4 linked regions of the Drosophila melanogaster genome follow. The gene in region 1 interacts genetically with each later gene. Each region holds a gene or a part of one and is shown in the gene's direction. Other genes may lie near its edges. The genes, in order: kni, neb, Bap170 and btl.

Region 1 (4,480 bases):
AATATGAATCATTCTGAATCCGGGTAATAGCCCGTCTAAATAGTATTTTTTATAACTTTTCGGACGCAATTACATACTCAATAATACTCAACTATCGTTTTTTTGCTATGAATCAATGCAGATCTCTTATTGATTAACTTCTAATTAAAGCGTTTCAATTTATTGCCAAGTCGCGGTTATGCAAATTTTAACACATTTCATGAAATCTTGAGAATCAGTTTGTGAATCACACAGAAAGTGGGAATATTTCCCGCGGAAAAAGGTTTTGAAAATCAAACTAGGTGTTAGGCATACAGGCAACTCTAAATGTACCCAAAAACCGGCGGACTTTGAAAAGAAAACCCCAAGCGAATTGGCCTCCAACCATTTCGATTTCGAGCAGCCAAAACGGCTCCGCCCATGCCAAAAAAATGAGCAGCTGTTAAAAATGAAGTCAATAGCTTAGTCAATGTGGTGTGTGTGTGTGTGTGTGGTGTTCGAGTGAGTGAGAAATCCAGCCGCCCTTAGCACGCGAGTATCTTTAATAAATAAACGAATAACGAATAATATCAGGGCCATGCAAATAGCCTGATTACAGGGAACTCAAAATCGAGAGAGAGAGAGAGACTGAGCGTGAGATCTGAATGAGTGAGTGAGTGTTTTCTATTCATTCAACAACAGAGCGTTAACATTCTGCTAACATTTCGCTCGAGTGGGGTTCGAACTCAATGCGCATGTGTGCGTGCTCGATCGCTCTCTCACTCGATCCGAGTCTTAAAGGTGGTGGTTTCAGCCGTGATTTATCAGAGAGCTGGGGCTGAAAACTGGTAAGTTTGCTTTGGTGTGAGTGCGAGTACATAAGCCAAAGAGTTCGGCCAGTAGGCGAAACACAGAAACGCTTCTTGCCAGTCGAACCTCTCAGCCAGAAATCAGTCGTCAGCTAGTAGCCGAAGTGTCAGTTACACACATCGAGGATTCCCAAACCGCGTTGTTTCGGCGATCAAAAACCATACATCACATCAAATCGTATCCAAAATTATAATCAAAGTGTTGAAAACCTGAATCACTCAGACTGATCGAAAAGTGCTTGCAAACCGAAAACAAAACAAAAAAAAAAAAAATAACAGACACAAACTGCCAAAGTGAGAAAACGTGCAGCAACGATCGCGAATCGCTGCAATTAAAAAGTCGTCATAAACCTAGTGCCCATCCAACAAAAAAAAGCAAAAAGGTAAGTTCTGAGCGAGGGAGACAACATGAGATCAAAGTCAATTCACGGTTCTTGTTTTTGGGTCGCGGCCGTCGGCAAATTTTACGATCCCTTGTGCACTACTTTTATTTTTTACTGTTTCACGCGAAAAACTAACGGCCACATTTCCATCTTTTCCTTATTTTTTTGCGTCCCGAGGCAGCGGGAAAAAAATCACAATTTTCATAAGCCGAATTTTCTATTTTTTGTTTGACTCGGGAAAAATCGGCGTGAGTTTTTATGGCCGAACGTCAAGGTCTGGACTGCTGCTGCATTTTTTTAGGGAACACTATTTTCGCAGCACTCGTAATGACTTCGAATAAAAAAGAAAATCTACCTGAGTTTTATGACTGGACAGCGCGAAAAAAATGAAAATGAACGCATAGGGTTGCATAATCCGGCAGCTTAAGTTTTTTGGCCTGTTGTGATCATAAAAAACGCCCATCCTGTCTAGTTTTTCCCAGTTTCCTATATATATCCTGGCCCGCCTAGAGCTCAGCATCAGTTGCTCAGCAGCATTCCAAGCGAACAGATCATACAGCAGATCCTCACAGCGATCGTGAGAAAAGCATTCAAAATTCCAACAAATATCATTCCAAAATGGTGTTCAACTTGGTTAGTGTCCAGAGCCGTTCGCCTACTTGTGGATTACACATATACCTCTCGACCAGTGGATTAAACCCTTACTAACGCGGGATTTCTTTACAATCTTCCAGATGAACCAGACATGCAAAGTGTGCGGTGAGCCGGCGGCGGGCTTCCATTTTGGCGCCTTCACCTGCGAGGGCTGCAAGGTAAGTTGTGTCTCAAGAAATCCATTGACAAATAAATTAGCAGAACGTAACCCCCCAAGGGGTTAGTTTTAGAAATGTTCGAGGAACAGGCCATCGGCGATTCAAATCGTTGTACCATTGGCCTTAAGTTCTTGAATGAATTTCTGCTCTTCTTTTGCTAATGAGTTGCATACCACATAACTAAGCCACATTCGTCCTTCCCTTCGCCATTGCAGTCCTTCTTTGGCCGCTCTTACAACAACATCAGCACCATCAGCGAGTGCAAGAACGAGGGCAAGTGCATCATCGACAAGAAGAACCGCACCACCTGCAAGGCGTGCCGCTTGAGGAAGTGCTACAACGTGGGCATGTCGAAGGGGGGATCCCGCTACGGACGTCGCTCCAACTGGTTCAAGATCCATTGTCTGCTGCAGGAGCACGAACAGGCCGCCGCAGCGGCGGGCAAGGCGCCTCCATTAGCGGGTGGCGTATCGGTGGGTGGTGCCCCGTCGGCCTCTTCCCCGGTGGGCTCGCCACACACTCCCGGATTTGGGGACATGGCCGCCCATTTGCACCACCATCATCAGCAGCAGCAGCAGCAGCAGGTGCCGCGTCATCCACATATGCCTCTGCTGGGCTATCCCAGCTATCTGTCCGACCCATCCGCCGCCCTGCCCTTCTTCAGCATGATGGGCGGTGTACCGCACCAGTCGCCCTTCCAGCTGCCCCCACACCTCCTCTTCCCAGGCTACCATGCAAGTGCTGCCGCTGCAGCGGCTTCTGCTGCCGATGCCGCTTACCGGCAGGAGATGTACAAGCACCGCCAGAGCGTGGATTCCGTTGAGTCGCAGAACCGCTTTAGTCCCGCCAGCCAGCCACCAGTGGTGCAGCCCACCTCCTCGGCCCGCCAGTCGCCCATCGATGTCTGCCTGGAGGAGGATGTTCACTCCGTGCACAGCCATCAGTCGTCCGCAAGCCTCCTGCATCCCATTGCCATCCGAGCCACGCCAACCACTCCGACTAGCAGCAGCCCGCTGAGTTTTGCGGCCAAGATGCAGAGCTTGTCGCCCGTTTCGGTTTGCTCCATTGGCGGCGAAACCACCAGCGTTGTACCAGTGCATCCTCCCACCGTTTCCGCTCAAGAAGGACCCATGGATCTGAGCATGAAGACCTCGCGGAGCTCCGTGCACAGCTTCAACGACAGCGGCTCCGAGGATCAAGAAGTGGAGGTGGCTCCGCGCCGGAAGTTCTACCAACTGGAGGCCGAGTGCCTGACCACCAGCAGCAGCAGTTCCTCCCACTCCGCCGCCCACTCACCGAACACCACCACCGCCCATGCGGAAGTCAAGCGGCAGAAGCTAGGTGGTGCAGAGGCCACCCACTTCGGTGGCTTCGCGGTGGCCCACAATGCGGCTAGTGCCATGAGGGGAATATTCGTGTGTGTCTAAGTACACGGCGAAAAAACCAAGTGGGAGGAGTCGCCCCAAAAACCCTCGTTGTTTATTTTTTGTTACTTAAAGAAAATGTAAATTTATTCGTGTGCTCGCTCACACTTAGGGAAGTGGAAAGAGATAGGGACAGACAGGTTTTGCTGGAAAGAGACAGCCTGACCAGGTAGTTGCATTGCACTCGCACACATACACCTATATACCACCACACACACACTCACACTCACCTATTGAGCTCGGATCCAAAAATTATTTTTTATGAAAACGTTAAAATTGTAAATATATCTTTGAGCTTGTTTGCAATTGTATTTTAAAGTTAGCCGGCGGAAGAGCCGTAGAAGTAGTAATCATTCCCACCCTCAAATGCTATTGTACATACAAATTGTTAAGTCTAAGAATGATCTTTATTGTCTCTAAGTATTTTATTCTATTATAGTCCTAGTTATGGTATGTCTAAAGATTGGCATTTAGTTTTATACAAAGAAAAATAAAAACTATTAAAAATTAAACTTTTGTCGTTTCCAATGCTTTTCGGTGTATTTCAGAATACACAAATTCATATTTGAAGTTTTTGCTTATGGATAATTGAACTAACTTATTTACAATGTCGTCTTGAAGCTCATTAATTCCACGGCACGTTTACTTCGGTGTTGCTTTTATTGATTTAATTTTAGTTGTGACATCATAGAAAAGTGTATTTAATTACAAAACAAACACTTTAAGAAAATTATTTAAAAATACTCATACAACGTATTCGTTGTACCTTAAAGTTAACGAACTCTTCTGATTTGTTTAAGCACATTATTATGGACTATATGTCTGGTGCAAACTATCTTTCGGATGTATCTGCTGGATGTATCAACGAAGTTTGTCGGCTACCGCACATTCCTATAGGATCAAAGCCAATAAATTATTTACGTATTCAGCTACCGCTCTTGTTTCAAAATCAGTTCTGTTCAAACATGCGAGCATATATCCATATACATATATCTGATCGGCGGTGTCTTTGGCTCGATGTTCGTTAACCACGG
Region 2 (4,993 bases), on another chromosome or scaffold:
ACTCCTACATACTGTGTAATTCGTATAACTTTTCATTCCCTTACATGGTAAGTGTCCTTTTCTACGCGCGTGCTTAAGAGGTTGGCTGAGTCTTCGCTGATCATTGGTCCAATCAAAAAATTCGTTAGGCGATGTCACAATCTTCGAATGTTCAATCCGAATCCGACGAGATGTTGGTGCACGAATCGTGAGCGATGCGTTTGTTGATGGGGTTGTAGATGCCATTGAGCGGATACGGGCCGCGGTAGCTGATAATGTTCTTTGGGGTCTCATGGATCTTCACCTCGTACAGCAGCTCCGGCTTCTTCAGCTGCAGACGGATGTTGTCCCAGATGTAAACGGCCAAGTTTTCTGTGGTGCTTGGCTGGGGGGGATAGATATAAAGGATAAGTACGGTAAGTTGTGTTGTGCTTGCTGGTTATTTACTGTATTGGCAAAGTATTCGACATCCTTATCGAGATTCTTGTGGTCCAGGCGCTTCATAATCACAGTTTCTATAGCCTCTTTCAGCTCGGTGATGTTTAGCACCATTCCGGTTCGCCGATCGATGGGACCACGGACGGTTATCTCAACTGAAAAGATCACAAAGGATTATAAAAGAACATCTTTCGTAGTCTATTCACACATTTTTTGGTATAATTTGGTATAATCGGCATCGAGTCAAGCTTGAGTTCTTAAGGTTTAGCTATTGACAATCTAAATATAATCCAAATTTCTAATCAGTTGAGCACTTGCGACACTTTATGCTCGTTCAGAACCATTATTCATTATCAATTCTCGGTCGCCAGTCAACATATTGATTGCCTTTGAGCGTTGAACTTGAATATGGTTTTGATAAGCGAGCTTGTCGGCCAAGGTTTTGCTATGGTTAGGCACCACTTTGGGCTCAAATTACCAGTTTAGTAGGGGGTTAAGCCTGATTGAGCCGGGGTTATGTGATAATAAGTGTGGCACTTTGCAGGTAATCATGCGACTAAGTGTATTTAAGGGGTATTTTTTTTTTTACCTGTATAGTTGTGTCCGTGGCCGTGGAAATTGTTGCACTTGCCGAAGACTTCCAGATTCTCGGCGTCGCTCAATTGGGGACTGAAGAGAAAATAGATGCAGCAATCAATTTAAATCGAACTGAATTGGTTTGCCAGCCGTGATTGAATCAGGCAATTGAATGATTCAATTTGATTCAATCTAATTACCTATGGAGACGATGGCAGGCGCTGAAAGTTTCGCGACGGGTTAAAAAGGCAACAGGTTGCTGCGACATTTCAAGTCCGATTTATACTATATATCTGGATCTGTATCTGGATGTGGATTTATATATGCGGCTGATCAGCTGCGCGCTTTGGCAATGTTTTACAATGAATGCAAAACCTGCTTTTGAGCCGCGCTTATTTATATGGTACTTGGATCGAGGGAACAAGGAAATATAAGCCACAAATGCGGCGACTGCGATATCAACACGCTCGGAACTAGTTTCTCTGAACTTTTCGAGTGCGGCTAATTGCAGCTGATTAGCGATTGATGTTCCCTCGTTTTCTGTTGCAAGTGCCTATGCGTGCTGCAAAGACAGGGTGTGGTATGCTATAGCCATGGTAACAAACTCAATTCAGCAAGGAACTCACCTTTAATTGCTATGGATTTTCAATAATATTTACTTTTGTCTACGTTGCTCGTCAACAGCTGCTCCCGATAACAAGGCAGCGCGTATCGGTTATCGGCCAGAGCTGAGCAGTTTGCCGCCACAACTGTTCTCAGTGATTTACAACTGCACAAATAGACTATTGTATGGGTAGAAATCCTTACACTATTACAATTTCGCTATATATTTATTTATTTCATGTTAGTTCTTTGTCAATTATCTCATAATTTAAATGAGCTGATTAACAGAGTTAGCTAACAGAGTATGTAAGTGCTGTTCATCCCTGGCTCGTGGTGGCGTTGCCGGACCTCACGCCGCTCACTGTAATCAACCCTGCTTTGCTATCGATCGCCGCCCTTCACTAGAAAAAAAATAACAAACGACGCCGCGCAATAATTCGAAACTCTTCGGCGTTATTTAAAAAACGAGCAGAGATACCTAAATAATAATCTAGACATGAGCAACAAGAGCACTCCGGTGCGGCAGCGCATCCAGCAGTTCCAGACGCGAGGAGTCCACAAATCCACGCCGGCATCCGAGATGCGCAAGAAGGTGCTGATGACGCGGGCGGAGGATCGGGAGCACCGGGATCGTCCCGAACAGCTGCTGAACACTGCATTCAGCGGGAGCACGCCACAGCCGAAGCCCAAGCCCACGGCCCTGAATGCCTGCTACACACCCTCGTCGCTGTACAGGAATGCGAACTCTACTCCTGGAAGAGCAAAGACGCCCGGCACCGGGAAATCCAGCTGCAGCAGGACAAAGGAGCGGGACTCTCTGATGGAGTCCTGCCTCAGCGTGTCCGAGGAGAGCAACATGATTGTGGCGGTGCGAGTGCGGCCACTGAATGCCCTGGAATGCACACGTGGTCAGGTCACCAATGTGGTCCAGGTGCACGGAAACAGCAACGAGCTGACTGTCCAAGCGGGCAGCAGTGCTGATGCCTCCGCCGGCGTGACGCACTTCTTCAGCTACGACCAGGTCTACTACTCGTGCGATCCCGAACGAAAGAACTTCGCCTGCCAGGCCAAAGTCTTTGAGGGCACAGCGCGTCCCTTGATCGACACTGCCTTCGAGGGCTACAATGCCTGCTTGTTTGCCTACGGCCAGACGGGCTCGGGCAAATCGTACAGCATGATGGGCATTGAAGCATTGGATGACGCCGCTCTGGATGGCGGACCGCCGCACGATGAGGCGGGCATCATTCCACGCTTCTGCCACGAGCTATTCCGCCGCATAGAGGCTGTGAAAAGTCAGCAGCAGCTGCAGGTGGAGGTGGAGGTCAGCTACTTTGAGATCTACAACGAGAAGATACACGATCTGCTGAGTGTCCAGCATGCGGCAGCTGCCACCGGGGAATCCACGCCCATCCAGCAGCAACAACAGCAGCAGCGTCCGGCTCTAAAGGTCAGGGAGCATCCCATCTTCGGGCCCTACGTAGTGGACTTGAGTGCCCACTCGGTGGACTCGTACTCGGCACTCCGCAACTGGCTTGCCGTGGGCAACTCCCAGCGGGCCACTGCCTCCACGGCCATGAACGACAAGAGCTCGCGCTCACACTCCATCTTCAACATTGTCCTAAACCTCACCGATCTGAGCAGTGACGATGGCCTGTCCTCGGATACGGACTCGAGCACGGCCTCCTCCCTGCGGCAGACGCGGCGCAGCAAGATTAGCCTGGTGGACCTGGCGGGCAGCGAACGCATTAGCGTCTCCGGATCGAACGGCGAGCGGATCCGCGAGGGCGTCAGCATCAACAAGAGCCTGCTGACGCTGGGGAAAGTAATTGCTGCTCTCGCCGATTCCCGCAAGGCGATCGCCAATGGACCCCTGGGCTCTGGGACGCCCAGCACCTTCGTTCCCTATCGCGAGAGCGTGCTCACCTGGCTGTTGCGGGTAAGTGTTACGAAATAGTTCTTAGCTGCGTTTGTACTTATCAACCGGGTCAGTAGGTTGGTCTACTTTCGGCTAATGATAACTCTTTCTTATCCCCTTGGTTTTTGAAATCAATAATTGTACCCAGAAGTGATTGCTAAGTATGTGTTTCGAATAAGTTCAGCTCAGTAAAACCTTATAACCTCATGTCTTCAATATAAATGCATATGTATATTCGCAATGCTTTCCGCACTTTTGCCACCACCGATAGGATTGCTTATCAACACTTTCGCTTCGATTAGGCAGTGGCCCACGGAATGGGGTCCCCTTGCAATCAGTAATTACCCGGAAAGCAATCAGTACGTAGAACTGCACTGCAACATGCAAATGACACGTTGACCCCTGCGGAAAGTACCCACAAAATGTTCGTACGGTCAAATGTTTACTTAACTGGCTGGCAGATATTCGTCTTTTCAACAGATCTCGTGATGAGCTATGAAGCCCACTGTCTACAGAGATATCATCTCGACTCGCGCGACACGCGAATTCTGTTTTAATGATGTCTGCACTGCGAGGAGCAGCTGCTAGACAGATTTATGTTGGCTCTATCAATTAACTGGGGTGCTAATTACTTTAATTAAAATAAAGCGTCAAATTGTCCGAAAAAAACAAGGAAAAGAAGACGACAACATCAGCCAGAGATTAGATTGAGTTTATCTGCGCTTTATAGGACTAAATATGAGAGATCTCGAGTTCTAAACTCGAACCTTGTTATCATTCGTTTGTTTATTTTGTTTGCTAAGATTGCCAGCAGACTTAGTGTATTTTTTATTATTATTATTTCCTTATCATTTTCGATAGGAAAGCCTTTTATTAAGGTCTACCAAATCAAAGACCTCCCGCACCTCAATCAATTGAGTGATTAAAATTTTGGCCTCTTATCATATCTATTTAATCTATTGTTGTTGCTTTTCCTATGTGACCATAAAATTTATGACCTGATACAAAGGCGCACGTGTAAACTTTCTAGAAATTTATTTTAAGAACGCGAATAAAAAGATAGCAGTGTCTTCACCCGGGTAATATAATTATTTTGTTATAAAACCTCAGCAAATGCTTACATAGCATTAGCAGGAAAATTGTTATAAACTTGTCATGAGACTTGAATGTTGTGCATTAGTTAACATATTAGCTACTTGTTTCACGATTGTTTGAATTGAGTAACGACTGCGTTTTCTTTAGCAATCAATGTAACATACTTATGTGTGCATTTTAAGTTAACAACTGCTCTTAAGCGAACGCCACACGTTCGTAATAACTTGATTGTTGGAATATTACCAGGCTAGTTAATCCGAAAGTGAGGGTTTTATATAATACAAGTATCTGGCTTCTAAAAAAAGGCGCACTCGACATTTGCGACGTAATTTATAATCATTCGACTGCATTCAATGAGTAATTACATGGCGCCCACAAGTGAGAGGC
Region 3 (7,752 bases), on another chromosome or scaffold:
TTTACAAAACGCAGCCACTTGGGCAGCAGATGCTCAGTCTTGGACTGAATAAGCACCTTGCGGGTGTAAAGAGCCACACCGGTGTTTCCGTCCCGAGACATCTCGAATAAACCAGGCTTTCCTTCGGGGAAGTAGAGCAGTGCATGGATGCTCAAGGGTACGTCAGCATTATAGTGTAAGGTGAAGCGCGGGACATCGAAGCTATTGCTAATGAACCGATAGAAGTCATGGTGCTGCTCCTTGCTGATGCTTTGTGGCTCAAGAAGCCACAGAGGCTTGATCTCATTGGCCTGCTTTCCGTTAAGCAAGATGGGTGAGCCCACAAAGTTGCTGTATTTCTTGATTACCGCCTTGATCCTCTCCTCGTCCGCATATTCACGGCAATCGGTCTTTAAATGAAGCACGATTCGCGTTCCCAACTCAACGTCAGGCACCTCTTCGATCTCGTAGGTTCCACTGCCATCCGTGGACCAACGCAGTCCGGGTGCATTAGGCACAGCCGCCCTCGTGAACACCTCCACCTTATTGGCGACAATGAAGGAAGAGTAAAAGCCCACGCCGAACTGACCAATAATGTTCGAGGATGCCTCCGAGCTGGCTCCCTGCTGGGTCCCCTTCATCTGCTCCAGGAACTTCTTCGAGCCGCTGCGTGCAATGGTGCCCAGGTTGCTGACCAGCTCCTCCTTGGTCATGCCGATGCCCGTGTCCTGGATGATTAGCTGCATCAGTGGCTTGTCGGTGGTGATACGAATCTCCAGAGGCCGGTCCTTTCCAGCCAGATTCTCGCCTCCAGCGCTCAACGAGGTGTACCGAAATTTCTCCAGCGCATCGCTTGCATTCGAAATAAGCTCGCGCACAAAGACCTCGTGGTCGGAGTATAAGGAACGAGCCACAATGTCAAGTAGCTGGCGCGTCTCTGCCTGGAACTCATGCTTGTCCACCACTGATCCTGATGCCTGCTTGGTCTCCGTGGAGTAGCGACGGAGCGAGAGAGCTGCAAGTGAAAAGATGAGTGTTATGTAAACATAAGAATCCCTCCGGGGAGCCGGTTGCTTATATTCAGTGCTTACCACCCGGCGAATGCTGCGATCCAATGGTGATATTGAACGCTGCTGGGGCGGATCGGTGACTCTGCCTCAACACTTGGGCACAGCGACCGAGGCGGCACGCCTGGCCCAGCACTCCCATCGCTCGTACAGACATCTTGTTGTTTTAATGTTTTGCCCAACTTTAATGTTACCCAACTACGAAGTTTGTTCCAGCGCACATGTGTGCACAGTGTAGCCAAATCAATCGATTGTAAGTATTCGATAATAGTAAACTGGTAAAACCCTACTCATAACGGTGTTTTCTTCCAAATTTCTGGGCTGTAATGAATTTTGGACTCAAATGCTTAGTTGGTTTGAATAAGAGTTACTACATGTAATGGAGAGTTCAGTTTCATCACATTATTCAGCTCAAAACTGAAGCAAACTGCCAGCTGACTAGTTCTCTAAAGATTTCGATCAGCAAGAGAGAGAGAGAGAGATAGAGATGTTTCAACTGTGAACAACAAACCGTAAATTCTGAAGGAATTAAGAACAGATTACGTTTCATTGTTTAGCCAATGTAGATTGGATGCTGATTTTTGAGTTATGAAATAACAAATGTCTTCAAAGAAGACAGTAAATAAAAGAAAGTTAAATCAAATCCAATATTGAAAGACATCGATACCTCATATCGATATACGGTCCAATTGCTGACAGCCCTGCTCGTGAATGCAACTCTGCTGTAGCGCGTCAGCGTCGCGTTGTAATTTTTGTTGAGTTTTTTAAATAATTTTAATTAGCATCTGCGTGTCTTACTATTAGAATATCATGTGTTAAGTGTTTCCCATTCACGCCACCACACAAAAAGATCCAATCATGAGCGCCACCACCATCGACAACGTACGGGTGCTGCTTCAGTCGCTGCCTGCTGCCGCCGTAAACAGCGCCACTCAGCCGGGCGATCTACAGACGCCGGGCAAGATTGCGGCCCCAGCGACTCCCCTTCGCGCCAAGAATCCCGCCCAATTACAGATCATGCCGGAGAAGGTCGAGGAGATGCCGCCGTCACCTCCGGAGGAGTTCTGGAGGGACCTGCAGCAGTTTCACGAACGACGCGGGTGAGTTGCCGCGGCTCTCCTGTATTTGGAGACGACCTAACCCACTTTCCCTCTGCCCAAACAGCACTCCATTGACACAGCCCGCCAGGATCAGCGGTAAGCATGTCGACCTGTACAAGCTGTACAACGAGGTAACCGAACGAGGCGGCTTTAATAAGGTGACCATGCGGGACGAGTGGGACGAGGTGTACAGCGCCATGGAGACATTGCGGGAGCGCTGCGTTAACGGAACGGCTAGTATCAAGCACATCTACAGACGCTACCTGGACAAGTACGAACGGTTGAACTTCTTTGGCGAGGATCCAGACAAGATGGAGGCTCTGGAGGCGGCTATTGAGATTGTAGAAATGGGCGGTGGACGCTCGCGATCTCGTTTTTTGGCTGGCGCCGGTGGTGGCCTAGGAAGCATTTTTGGATCAGCACACTCTACGTTGCCGGCGGTGCCAATGGCCTACAACCAGCGCCAGCACTCTGTTAATGTGGAACGACGCCGACAGTACAAGATGTCCACGCAGTTGCACCGACACAGCAGCTACGAGAAGCTGCTGTTGTCTCTGCTTTCTCCGCTGCCCAATGAGCAGGACTTCGCCATAAACGTGTGCACACTTATGGCCAACGAGGCGCGCCACACCCTACAGCTGTCCGAGTGCCCCAAACTGCTTGATGTGCTGCTTGCTCACCTGGGAGTCTACGCTGACTTCACCATGCGCCAGCTGTTCCAGCACAGTTACACCGAGGTTCGACACCATTCGCAGCTCAGTTTCTGGCGCGACCTGCTACACGACAAGCCACAGGTCCTAGAGCTCTACACGGATGAGCAGGCCTGGCTGGACAACGGTCTGATAAGTAAGGAGGACGGTGAGAACTCTGCCGCTCGAAGTGAACTGCTGGCGGCCTGCGACGAGTTGCACTTCCTTAATCTGCGCCGGAGCAACGGGACTGATGAGCGCATGGGCCAGCGAGTGCTTCAGATTGTCCAGCTAGTCCGTACACTCAGCTTTCATCAGGAGAATCATGCACTCTTGGCCTCCAACCGCACGTTGTGGCGATATTTGGTCATGGGAGCAAACGTACGATGGAGTAAGTTTTTTTTATCTGCTTAGAAATTATATTTTTTGGCGCTTTGAATGTACGAAGTATCAAGGTGCTATCATAAATACACTGCAAGGAAATTGACTATTGCGTAGCATAGCAATCCCGAAAGAATCAATTTAAAATAAAATAACTGAAACACGTTTCGCTCGTTCTAGGCAACATTCACATCCAGGCCCTCGAGACCGCTGGCAACCTGGCTCAACAATTTGAGCTGCTAGACCCCACCACTGACGAGCTATCGCGGAATCTTTTAGCTACTCTCTGCGAGGGTATTGACTCTAACGACCGCGCGGTGATCATGAGCTGTCTGGAGATACTCTATAAGTTGTGCGGACGAGAAGGCAATTCGCAGCACATCAATCGTTGCCTTGGCCTGGACTTTTACCAGCGAGCCATGTTGCTCCTCTCGCTTACCGACGTCATGATGATTATCTTTACGCTGGAGGCAGTTTACGCACTAAGTGCTCTTGGCGCTCGGCCATGTTCGATGCTGATGCAAGTACGTGGCCTAATAGACCAGCTGGTGACCCTTATCACAGTGGAGGCTCAGTCATATGGCACAGGCGGTTGCATATTAATGCGTGTCGTAGAGGTTTTCCCCGGAAACATGGCTGCCTCGCTGGCTCAGAACATGCCCGCCATTCTTGCTCCAGGTCCCACTTCCCTGACTACACTTCCAACATCGCTGCAAGTAGCTGTTAAACCGCCAGCAGTTTTACCCACGCCTACACCCGCCCAGACGCAAGTGCTGCCTCACGGAGAGCAAACACCCTTGGTTACAGCTCTCCCCGGTCTGCCAATGCCCAGTCTGCCACAGGTTCAATTGCCTGTACCCAGTCTGCCGCAGGTACAATTGCCACCAATCGCTGCCACCGTGACCCTTCCCAGTCTGCCCTCCGCCTCCCAGAGTTTTACACACGAGGACGAACAGTATGCGCTGGCTTGGCTGGGAGCCACGTATGAACGGGCTGGGAACGGTAACGATCTCCGTGTGGAACAAGCGGAACTATACAGAATATATTTATCGCATTGCCAGAAGGCGGGTAAGCTTTCAGTGGTTAATCACATGCAGTTTCCTCGTCTAGTGCGGCTTATATTTAATCAATCGGTGGGACCAGTAATTGTACGGCACCTGGACGGAATAGAGCTACCTGGGACGTACTACGTAGGCATTAGGATGCGAGCTCAGCCGCTAGCCATGCAACAGAGACCCACCCCCAGCATTGTTCCTGTTAAAAAGGACACGCCAATATTGCCCAAGCAACCATTTAGTGATCCTGTTCAAACGGAAGTGGCGTCTGAGGAAAGCGTTTCTTCTGCAGTCACGCCACCCCCAAGCTCCTCGCTCATCAAAAGCTTGTTGGCCAACAAGGTAACTGAACGCCAACAGAAGCAGAAGGCCCAAGCTCAGACGCCGCAGCCGCCAGCCCTTGTGGCTACCACGGCATCGGGCACAAATGCTACCCAGCCCATCAAGGTAACCTCAACAGCTATAAGCGCCTTCGTGAACAACCCGCTAATGCAGCACACACCGGTGAAGGTGGGTCAGACTACCATTAAGCCGTTGCACCCCCAGATGGCCATCGAAAAGAAGCCAATCACTGATTCGGCCCCGCCACCTCTCGCTCCATTGAGTGGTGCAAACGTAGTGACGAAAGACGCCAGCGGGCGCACTCTCATCATTGCATCAGCAGCTGCCAAACGAAAATTAACCATTGACGAGGAGCAGAATAAGCGTCTGGCTTTAGATGCCGCTGCCAGCAGTTCCAGCAGCTCATCTTCTGGCGGCAAGGAAGAAGCGCAGGTGACTCCCTCGAAGAATGCAGCCAATCTCTATGCGGATCTGGCGGCATCTATTTTGGAGGATGAGGATATGGATGACGTTCCACCGCTGGCCAAACCAAGCCAGGAGCAAAGCCAGCAGCACCCGCAACAGGCACAGCAGCTTCAACTCATTCCGGCTAAAGTGCAACCAACCCAACGTCAACTTGTTTTCCCCGGTAGCAATGTGGTTTCTCCAGCTCCGCATTCCCAACTAAAACTTGCCACCACGGCCACCATAAAGACGGATCAGGGCTTGCAAACTGTGCCAGTGATCCTGCAGCCCAAGACTGCAATGGATTCCACGCCAGCTCCGCAGACGCAATATGTTCTGGCCACCAACCAGCAAGGCCAGACGTATCTTGTGGCCCAGCAGCCGACTATTCCGACATCCACGCAGTCGGCACCACCCACTCTGCTGGTGACGCAAACACCACAACAACAAACGAAGACCATAATAATCCTGCAGCAGCCAGGAGGAGTCTCTGCGGCGAACGTGGCTGGCACTCAGAAAATGATAATGACAACGGCGCAGGGCCAGCAGGTCCTGGTTACCACCACCACAGCTCCACAACTGGCCCAACCGCGTACTTCTACCCCCCAGCAGCAAATCTTTATCGCACCCCAGCGACCAGTTCCGGCGTTGGGTGCTGGCCAAATGTCGCCTTCACTGCTGTCGCAGTTGAACCAGATCCCGGCTACTATAAAGCTTCATCAGCCCCAACCACAGCCGCAGCTCGTTTCGCCGCAATTAGCACCCCAGCAGCGATTAGTTGCCGCAAAGCCGGGCGCTTCATTGCCCATTCCTCAGCTCCAGCAACATCAGTCTATCATCCAGCAACACATAATCTCGGGCCCCTCCACTCCTACTTCCACAGTTGGCGGTACGGTTGGTGGGGAAAAGAGGCAGGTAATTCTGGGCGGAATCAAGGAGACCACGCTAATTACCCAGACGTCGGCCACACCGGCTCCCCTGCAGCAAAGCCAGCTTAACTCGCAGACGATCATCACTCAGTCACCTACCAGCACGGCTATCGTAGGAGGCGTGGCTCTTCAGCAGCAACATCACATTCGATCTGTGTTGGACCAGCAGCAGCAGCATCATCCATCCATCATCCAACAGAAGATAACCATGCCGGCAGTAAGTTGGGAACTGGGGCCGAAATTAAAGAATTATTATTTTTTTTTAAGTATATATACAAGGGTCATTGAAAAGTATGTAAACAGCTTAAAATTTGATTTCATAATATGCCCATGCCCGTTCTAAATCCCATAAATCGCATCACATTCACATTCCCCATTTTTAAATGTTTCCATCGCGTTTTCACTACTTGAGTGGCGGGTTTTACAGGATCTCTTTTCTAAATAGCCAACAGGTGTATGGTAATAAGAATTGTGCTAAGATGACTAAAACAAATATTTTAATATATTATTTTAGATTTCCGAAGCGACCAAACCGAAAATAGCACCCGTTCCAGTTTCACCAACTGTAACTCTCCTAGCAAAAAAGCCGGCGCCGCCACAACCTGCTCAAGTATCTAGCCCCAAGCCATCAGTCACCCAGGCTGTTGTGGTAACGACGTCAGGAACTAGTGATTCAACGGAAGGCGGCAAAACAGTTGTCTTAGCAACCAGCGAGGCCAAGCCAGCGGAATCAGAGGTAGTAGCACAGACGGTTGTCCCACCTGCTGTCGTAACTACAGGTCCCAGCAGCAGTTCTTTGGTTGTCAGTCAGAGCGTCTACGCTGCTTCTGGCCCGAATGCCAACCCCACGCCCTCTCCCATGCCCGTGGATGCAAATTGGTTGTACATCTGCGACTGGCGGAACTGTCCCCGCAAGAAATTCAAGTCTCTTAACGAGCTGCAGTACCACGTGTGCAGTGTCCACTGTCCAGATCACCTTGATTCTGATGCCGACATTTATTGTCAGTGGGGCAGCGGACCCAACTTCTGCGACAACAGAGCGCGCAAACGGTACTCATTGATGACGCATCTGATTGACCGGCACCTGACAACGGAGAACTTGCGCGCCAGTGTGCAACGTCGCCTGGCAACTGGGATTCACAATGTGGCGCCCACCCAGGCTCCCGTGACCATAGTGCGCAACGAGGGTCATGCCCAACGATTGGCGGGAGGCGCTACTGGTTCACCTTCGGGTCCTGCTTCAGCGGTTCCAGTCGTTGGCAGCGCCGCAATGCAAGCTATGAACCGACACACGACTGATTACACGAACGCTAAAGAGCTGATGGACGAAAATGAGGGTCCAGTCACCAAGAGCATCCGTCTGACAGCGGCGCTCATTATACGCAACCTGGTCACCTACTCGGCTACGGCCAAGAGAAGCCTGAAACGCTATGAGTCACGCTTGGCCAATGTCGCCTTTAGCAATGTGGAGGCTAGCGGAGTGCTCTCCCACATCATGTACGAATTGAGCCAGTAAGCCGATATAGCTTACCATCAATATGATTATTTAACTGACTTGTAAGAACGACACTAAAAAAATGTGAAAAGCAAACCATACCTTGTTTGTCTAAATGATTCATACCATATAGCACCAAAATATGGGAGATTCGGGAGTAAGATTTTAATTTGACTTCTACAATTCTACGAGGCTTAGAATTAAAGAGCTATGGTGGACATTATCAGATATACTCCTGGTTAGCAAATAAACGTTTTGAATTAATCGTTCA
Region 4 (7,750 bases), 6.6 Mb from region 1:
ACGGAGTCCATCCAAAAAGATCTTCGCAACATTTTTACCAGCTGCCTGCAGCATGCCCCCGCCATTGTTGTGCTAGAAAACTTGGATGTACTGGCCCACGCTGCTGGAGAGCAGTCCAGTCAGGATGGAGAGTACTACAATCGCATGGCGGATACTGTGTATCAGTTGATTGTTCAGTATACCACCAACAACGCTATTGCAGTAATCGCCACCGTCAACGAGTTGCAGACCCTCAATAAGCGATTGAGCTCACCAAGGGGAAGACATGTCTTCCAGACTGTTGCTCGTCTGCCCAATTTGGAACGAGCAGATCGAGAGATAATTCTTCGAGAGCTGTGCAGCCATATCAATGTGGCCAAGGACCTGGATCTTGTTAAGTTCTCCAACCTCACGGAGGGCTACCGGAAATGTGATCTTGTTCAGTTCGTGGAGCGTGCAATATTTTATGCTTATCGCATAAGTGAGTAGTTTGTAGTGTTAGTAAGCAACTTTATCATGTTAAATTCCCTTTTTTCCAGGCAAGACCCAGCCTCTTCTGACCAATGATCAGCTTATTGAGTCCCTGGAGCACACAAACTCGTACTGCCTGCAGGGCATTCAGAGCAATCAAAGAACTGGCAATGATGCCGATGCCAATGAAATGCGCGTCGAGGAGTTGCCTGGCCTGGAGTCAGTTGTGGGAGTTCTGGAGGAGGTCCTTATGTGGCCATCAAGGGTGAGTTTTAAACGAAATATATGTTTTTTTCTAAAATTTAATAAATCATTAATTTCTTACAGTATCCAACCATTTTTAACGCCTCTCCACTGCGCAACCAGGCCGGAGTACTTCTATATGGGCCACCAGGAACAGGTAAAACCTATCTGGTCTCTCAGTTGGCCACATCGTGGAACCTGCGCATCATTTCCGTCAAGGGTCCTGAGTTGCTCGCCAAATATATTGGTCAAAGCGAGGAAAATGTTCGAAACCTGTTCAATCGAGCTCGCAGTGCCCGACCATGTGTGCTTTTCTTCGACGAGTTTGACAGCTTGGCGCCGAAACGTGGTCACGATTCCACGGGGGTCACCGATCGAGTGGTAAATCAGTTGCTCACAGAACTGGATGGCGTTGAAGGACTGCAGGGAGTTACCGTGATAGCAGCTACCTCCAGACCGGAACTGCTAGATCCCGCGCTTCTTCGATCCGGTCGCATTGATCGCTTGGTGGAGTGTCCTTTGCCGGATGCTCCGGCCAGAGTACGTATATTTGAAGCACTCAGTTCAACACTGAGCCTTGATGAGTGCGTGGACTTCGATTGGTTTGCGGGAAAAACTGCAAACTACACTGGCGCCGATATCCAGAGCATCCTGACCTCGGCGAACATGGCGGCGGTTAAGGAGGCGCTAGCTCAATTCGGACACGAGGTGAGCTGGGAATTATTTTCACCGGAAACAATCTGCTTTATGGGTCATGCAAGCTTTCAACCGTTTCTTTCATGTTTTATTGTTTCTCATCCTGATTTCAAATGTAACTTCTATGTAAAAACTCCTTTACGTGTTTGTCTTTTAAATCAAAAGTGAAATCTATGCTACTTCCTGCAACAATGATTAGTCACGTAGTTCTTAGTCTCTGGCCACAGTATAAAATACCATTTGTTTCTTATTGCTTTCCCAGAAACTGGCAAAGAAAATTTCCTTGAAGCAGAAGCACCTGATTGAGTCGTTCCAAACCACTCGTCCTTCGCTCAGCGCCTCCGATGTGGCCAAATATCACAGAACGTACGTAACAATGTCTTCTTTGTTCTTCTGTTCTTCTTACCTTTTTAATTATCTCTTGGTAGGTATGCTCGCTTTACCAACAAGGAGAAGACTTCTAGGGAGTTTGTAGCCAAGCGTGCGACCTTGGCTTAAAGACAAAGACTTATAAGCTTAGCATTATTATTATTTTAAATTGTTTTTTGCATATTTGTACATCTGGAAAATGGAACATTTTGTTGGAAGACGCAAGTCTTAGGTAGTACATATTTCATAATTTTTCTTGTTGAAAAATAAAAACCAAATTTCTTTTATGATTACTTCGTATAAATCCATATACCACTCCGGAGTGTTAAATTGAAAGAATATTATATTTTAATTATAATGTACATACATGTATAAAAAAGAGAAAGAGATGTTCAAATTTAAGAACTAATATCTTTTCGCATTCTGACCTCGGTAAACATGAGTGCTGTTAAGGGGTGGCTCCTTAACAAATGAAGACATCAGGTGAGTTTGGTTATTAATTCACCGGAAATTGTGTTTAGCTATAACAAGTTTTTGATAGCTAGTTTGGATAGTATGTCCCTCCTTTTCGTATTTCCCAACTGTTTCGCATTTGTTCCCATAGCCCCTAACAAGTGCATCAAAAATGCATTTAACTATTTTTGGGTAGATTACGTGCCCGGCATCTGGATCTGGATTTTGGCCTATGCGGGAGCTAGCTGCTGCCATGCCACATGCAGCAACTGAGATTTTTGGATATCAGTCACGTAACGGATATTTCCTTATTGATATGCGATTACCGCGCATGCGCACGTACTGCACACCACTAAGACAATGGACACATTTTCTTTTGCATAAATTAAGCCGCCAAGCAAACAAACAGGGAGGGAACCCGAAGGCCAGATAATAAAGAATTTCAACGAGTCGAAGCCACCGCAAACATGCTTAGAATAAAACCAACAAGAACCTAGCAGAAGCAGCAGCAGCAAACCAGCAATAAAAAGAAAGGAAACCGCTCAGGAAAACTACCAGCGAAAACAATTGCAACATGCGGGAGGGAGACCACCTCGATCAGGTAGCCGTCCGAACCCATACCATCCCATCCGAAGACCCTGTGCCCAGGATCCTAGCAAACATTATCGCAGGGAACCACAGATATCCACTCGTTTCGTATCGTATTGGATCGTATTGGATCGGTTCGGTTCGATCGGCACGTTCGGATCGTTCGTATCGTACCGCGTAAAAGTTTCTTCCGTTTCGATCGTTACTTTCAGTTGTTTGCGCACATTCAAGCCAATCGGTTGGCTCCTTCCACAAACTTTACGGATTACGGTTAGTGCAACGGAAGTGAACCCCCCCCCCCCCCCCCCGCCCAACACCAGCTACCCATCACATATTTCTTTTCATTTATGCCTGGTAAAGGGAAATAAAAGTTGGCAACGAAGCGGAAATGCAAGGCGCCTTCCGCTGCCCTCTTGCCGAGTCTTAAGATTTTTATACAAGCCCCAACCGCGATTGACAGCCGAATAAACATAGTGACAATGTTTTTTGCAATCTTATTTGCCTTCTCCGGCTCCTCGAAAATAAAAGACAAAGAACGTGATTTTTTTGGTCAAAGATTTGGGGTTGTGGCATGGCAGAAAAGAATTGTGTTCCCACTGCGAACTGACAAGCAGCAGTGAAACCAAAATAAAGCAAAAAATAATTTAAGAGTGAATTGTTCCAGCAGTAAAATAAATACAAATCTTTCCAAGTGCAGCCAAAAGATCATAAACCACAGATAAATAAAAACAAAAAGTCTGCAAAGTAACCAAATGTTAAAAATAAAATTTTAATTGAGACAAAGAAACGTGATAAAACTGATTCATACATAATTAAATAAACACCAATGAAATAAATAAGAAAATAAAATTAAAGTGATGTCAATTGTATGAATGAATAATTTATGTCTTGATCCAAACATTCCTTTTACATTAAGTCAATGTTTGCAGAAAGAAAACTGAATGGGGAGTTAATACCCAGGGTTCCAAATAAAGAACTTATTCTATTCTCGATATAGCTGATTGACCAAGTTGAAATATCAAATCGTTCATGCATTAGATTTATACGCTCGATAATAATTCACAAGATAAAAAGGTGTGAGCTAAACGGTTTTGGCCATGTGCGCTTGTGGCTTAAAATCGAATCGAATAATATTGAATGAATGACAAACTGAGAAAAAAATTAAATAAAAATAGCAATAATACATACTTCAAATACAGCGATCGACTCGTATTTGGCAACAAATGAGAAAAAAAGGAATTGAATAAATTAAAACCTGCGACGCGTGTGCATACATACATAAATCGGGCCTGAAGTCAAACGGCTAGCGGCTAGCGGCAATATCGGCTAAAACAACAACAACAATTACTGGCAGCACTAGCACCATATTAACAACAACAATGACAATCGCAACGGTTGTCCCAAGCCTTACAAACAATAAAATACTTTTCATTAAACAGCACAGTGGTCAAAACGATTTTATAAAAGTTAAAAATATTTTAATTTTCTGATAGAAAAAATAGTCGAACTATGCTATGCCCCCATTATTATCAATATTTTCTAAACTTCGTTTAAAACTTTACATTTTGTACAAAGCTTACATTCGCAGACAACAAGTTTGGGAATTTACCCTATCATCATTAATCATTGAACTAAAAATTGTTTATTTTTATTTGGCAAACATTTGACGAACCCAAGTAGATGGAATACCCACTGTCCTATACCCTTTACGTGATTATACTAAAAATTAATTTTGAAATAATTATCTGCTATTAGGATTTTCGAGCAGTGTTATTCAGTGTTTAAAGCATAACTTTATTATAAATATACCTTTTAATTGATTAAAATGCTGAGCTCATATTGCACAGAGAATTTGAATGTTAATTAGTTGCTATTTCAGATTGTGGCAAATCATTTAGGTATTTCTCGATTTGTTGTTGCAATTCTCTAGCACCTTGTCTGTTTGTTTTGTAAGTGCAAGTATAGTACTTGGGGAATAACTGAAAAGTGTGACACCACTGTAACAACTGATTTCAACAAATAGCTAAGTGATTTTCTAACTGTTCGGCATTTAGTTGAATGGAAATCGAGGAGCGCAGGCCGCAGCAACAAAAGCATTTGGCGAACGTCGAATATAGACAAGTTATAATGGAGATCCCCTTCGGTAGTGGGTGGCGACGAGTGTGTCCGGCAATTCGGTGGCTTCGACCACGTCTTCCAGCTCATTACGAAGGCAGGGCACACAGTTTTCGTTTGTTTCAGTTGCTTCTCCTTTGGATTTTTGCATATCGGTGCGGACAGACTTGACTTGGCTGTGTGCCGTGTTGGCAATAAAATATTAAACAATAATAATAAATAAATAAAATGACACAGATCGGGAACTAAGGGAGGGGCAAAAAGTGAAGCGGAGATTTGGCAATATTTATTGATCCACTTATACAGCTGCGGTCAAAAGAATAGTGGCACAATAGTGGTATTCAAGTAACGAATAGCTAATAATATTTGCATTCATAACTTCTTAAATTTAGTTAAATTAAACAAAATTCCAAAGTGTTATTTTTAAAGTATAATATATCAATCAATGCCATGTAATTCATATATTTAATCCTTTCCTTTAGCTGGAGAACGCTCGATTTGAAATCGAGGAACTCGAATGAAGATACCCACAGGAAGTGATATTATTTCGACCGCAACTGTAACCCATATGTACACGATCGTGCCCATCCAGATACGAGATCTTGGTGGCTGTTGAACTCAAGAGAATCCACTTGAATCATGGCAAAAGTGCCGATCACGCTGGTGATGATCATTGCGATCGTCTCTGCCGCTGCGGACCTGGGATGCGATTATGGCCATCATCGTTGCTACATCGATGTGACTGTGGAAAACAGTCCCCGCCAGCGCCATCTGCTCTCCGACATGGACATCACGCTGCAGTGCGTCCGACCCATGGCCAAATGGTTCTATGAGGATAAGTTTCAACTGAGGGCTACCCTTTTGCGACTTGAACGAGCACAGTCCGGAAATTCTGGAAACTACGGCTGCCTGGATAGTCAGAACAGATGGTACAATATTTCCCTTGTTGTTGGCCATAAGGAACCAGTTGGCAATGATATCGCCAGCTTTGTCAAGTTGGAAGATGCACCGGCCCTCCCGGAGTCAGATCTCTTTTTTCAGCCCCTGAATGAGAGTCGATCCCTGAAGTTGCTGCAACCCCTACCCAAAACCGTACAACGGACCGCAGGTGGCCTTTTTCAGTTGAACTGCAGTCCCATGGATCCGGATGCAAAGGGTGTTAATATATCCTGGCTGCACAATGATACTCAAATCCTTGGTGGACGTGGACGCATTAAGCTTAAAAGGTGGTCATTAACAGTGGGGCAACTGCAGCCGGAGGATGCTGGAAGCTATCACTGTGAGCTGTGCGTGGAACAGGACTGCCAAAGGAGTAATCCGACCCAATTGGAGGTGATAAGCAGAAAGCACACGGTGCCCATGCTAAAGCCCGGATATCCCCGCAATACCAGCATTGCCCTCGGGGACAATGTGAGCATTGAATGCCTACTTGAGGACTCTGCCCTGGAGCCGAAGATCACGTGGCTACATAAGGGGAATGCGGACAACATCGATGACCTCTTGCAGCGTTTAAGAGAGCAGTCCCAGCTACCTGTGGATGTTACCCGATTGATTACCCGAATGGATGAACCGCAGGTACTTCGTCTTGGAAATGTCCTGATGGAGGATGGCGGATGGTACATATGCATAGCCGAGAACCAGGTTGGACGCACTGTGGCCGCCTCCTATGTGGATCTTTACAGTCCCTCAGATACTACCACAGTTCGCACGACCACTACTACCACCGTGGCCAGCCCAATACCCACTGCATCCACCGGAGAGGACAACGATGACGACGTGGAAAATCCAGCAGCGGAAGCATCAGGCGGCGTTGGTCCACCTGTGTTCAGAAAAGAGCTGAAACGATTACAGCACTCATTATCGGGAAATACTGTCAATCTAGCCTGTCCAGTGTACGGCAAAGCGAACATCACCTGGACGAAGGACAAGAAGCCGCTAAACCGTGAACTCGGCGTCTATGTGCAAAAGAACTGGACACTCCGCTTCGTGGAGGCCACCAGCGAGGATTCTGGACTATACAACTGTAAGGTGTGCAATGCGTGGGGCTGCATCCAGTTTGACTTCAGTGTCCAAATAAACGATCGCACGAGATCCGCACCAATAATCGTGGTGCCGCAAAATCAGACGGTGAAAGTCAATGGCAGCTTGGTGATGAAGTGCACCGTCTACTCTGATCTGCATCCAACAGTCAGCTGGAAAAGGGTTGTCCTCAAGAATGCCTCCTTGGACGGCCTTAAGTCTGTGGAAATCCAGAATCTCAACTTCACCGTGACGAATGACTCCGTAGTTTTAACGCTTCGTAATGTGACCTTTGACCAGGAGGGCTGGTACACCTGTTTGGCCTCAAGTGGTCTGGGAAGGAGTAACTCCAGTGTGTACCTTAGGGTAGTGAGTCCTCTGCCACCTTTGGAGATCTACGCCCTGCTGCACGCCCATCCTCTCGGATTCACCTTGGCCGCTATTACGATAGTGGCTTTGTTCCTTTTGGGCAGTGCTTTCATAACGTTCATGCTGCGTCGGCTGAGGAGGGAGAAGCTCCTGAAGCTCCGCATCGAAACGGTTCATCAGTGGACTAAAAAGGTGATCATATACCGACCGGGTGGAGAAGAAGGAAGTGGCTGCAGCTCCGGCGATCTTCAGATGCCAGTGATAAGGATCGAGAAGCAGAGAACAACCGTTTCCACAACGGGAACTGGCGGTACTGATCCCGCCCAGGGCTTTAATGAGTATGAGTTCCCGCTGGACTCAAACTGGGAGATTCCCAGGCAGCAGCTTAGCTTGGGCTCCATTTTGGGTGAGGGCGCCTTTGGACGCGTAGTGATGGCGGAGGCGGAGG

What was found.
Region 2: of kni (region 1) and neb, changing one suppresses a phenotype caused by changing the other (phenotypic suppression), as found in Drosophila melanogaster (one study listed by BioGRID).
Region 3: of kni (region 1) and Bap170, changing one suppresses a phenotype caused by changing the other (phenotypic suppression), as found in Drosophila melanogaster (one study listed by BioGRID).
Region 4: of kni (region 1) and btl, changing one suppresses a phenotype caused by changing the other (phenotypic suppression), as found in Drosophila melanogaster (one study listed by BioGRID).

What each region holds. Positions count from the first base shown.
Region 1 is NT_037436.4:20,691,805-20,696,284, reverse strand, and holds kni (knirps), read left to right. Parts: upstream 1-1,728; 5' UTR 1,729-1,828; coding exon 1,829-1,843; intron 1,844-1,944; coding exon 1,945-2,022; intron 2,023-2,237; coding exon 2,238-3,449; 3' UTR 3,450-3,955; downstream 3,956-4,480. UniProt on the Drosophila melanogaster protein: Transcriptional repressor. Binds to multiple sites in the eve stripe 3 enhancer element. Plays an essential role in the segmentation process both by refining the expression patterns of gap genes and by establishing pair-rules stripes of gene expression.
Region 2 is NT_033779.5:20,073,765-20,078,757, forward strand, and holds the start of neb (nebbish), read left to right. Parts: upstream 1-1,992; 5' UTR 1,993-2,092; coding exon 2,093-3,532; intron 3,533-4,993. Other genes in the region: pr (purple), read right to left, coding at 152-364, 427-572, 1,007-1,086, 1,194-1,261.
Region 3 is NT_033778.4:6,634,785-6,642,536, forward strand, and holds Bap170 (brahma associated protein 170kD), read left to right. Parts: upstream 1-1,727; 5' UTR 1,728-1,904; coding exon 1,905-2,146; intron 2,147-2,210; coding exon 2,211-3,226; intron 3,227-3,396; coding exon 3,397-6,203; intron 6,204-6,500; coding exon 6,501-7,502; 3' UTR 7,503-7,574; downstream 7,575-7,752. Other genes in the region: Trap1, read right to left, coding at 1-994, 1,071-1,203.
Region 4 is NT_037436.4:14,074,059-14,081,808, forward strand, and holds the start of btl (breathless), read left to right. Parts: upstream 1-1,755; intron 1,756-1,817; coding exon of another isoform or gene 1,818-1,887; 5' UTR 1,888-1,990; exon of another isoform or gene 1,991-2,065; intron 2,066-3,006; exon of another isoform or gene 3,007-3,069; intron 3,070-5,396; 5' UTR 5,397-5,553; coding exon 5,554-7,750. Other genes in the region: Pex1 (peroxin 1), read left to right, coding at 1-460, 519-715, 778-1,401, 1,652-1,755, 1,818-1,887. UniProt on the Drosophila melanogaster protein: May be required for patterning of muscle precursor cells: generation of mesodermal and endodermal layers, invaginations of various types of cells, and CNS formation.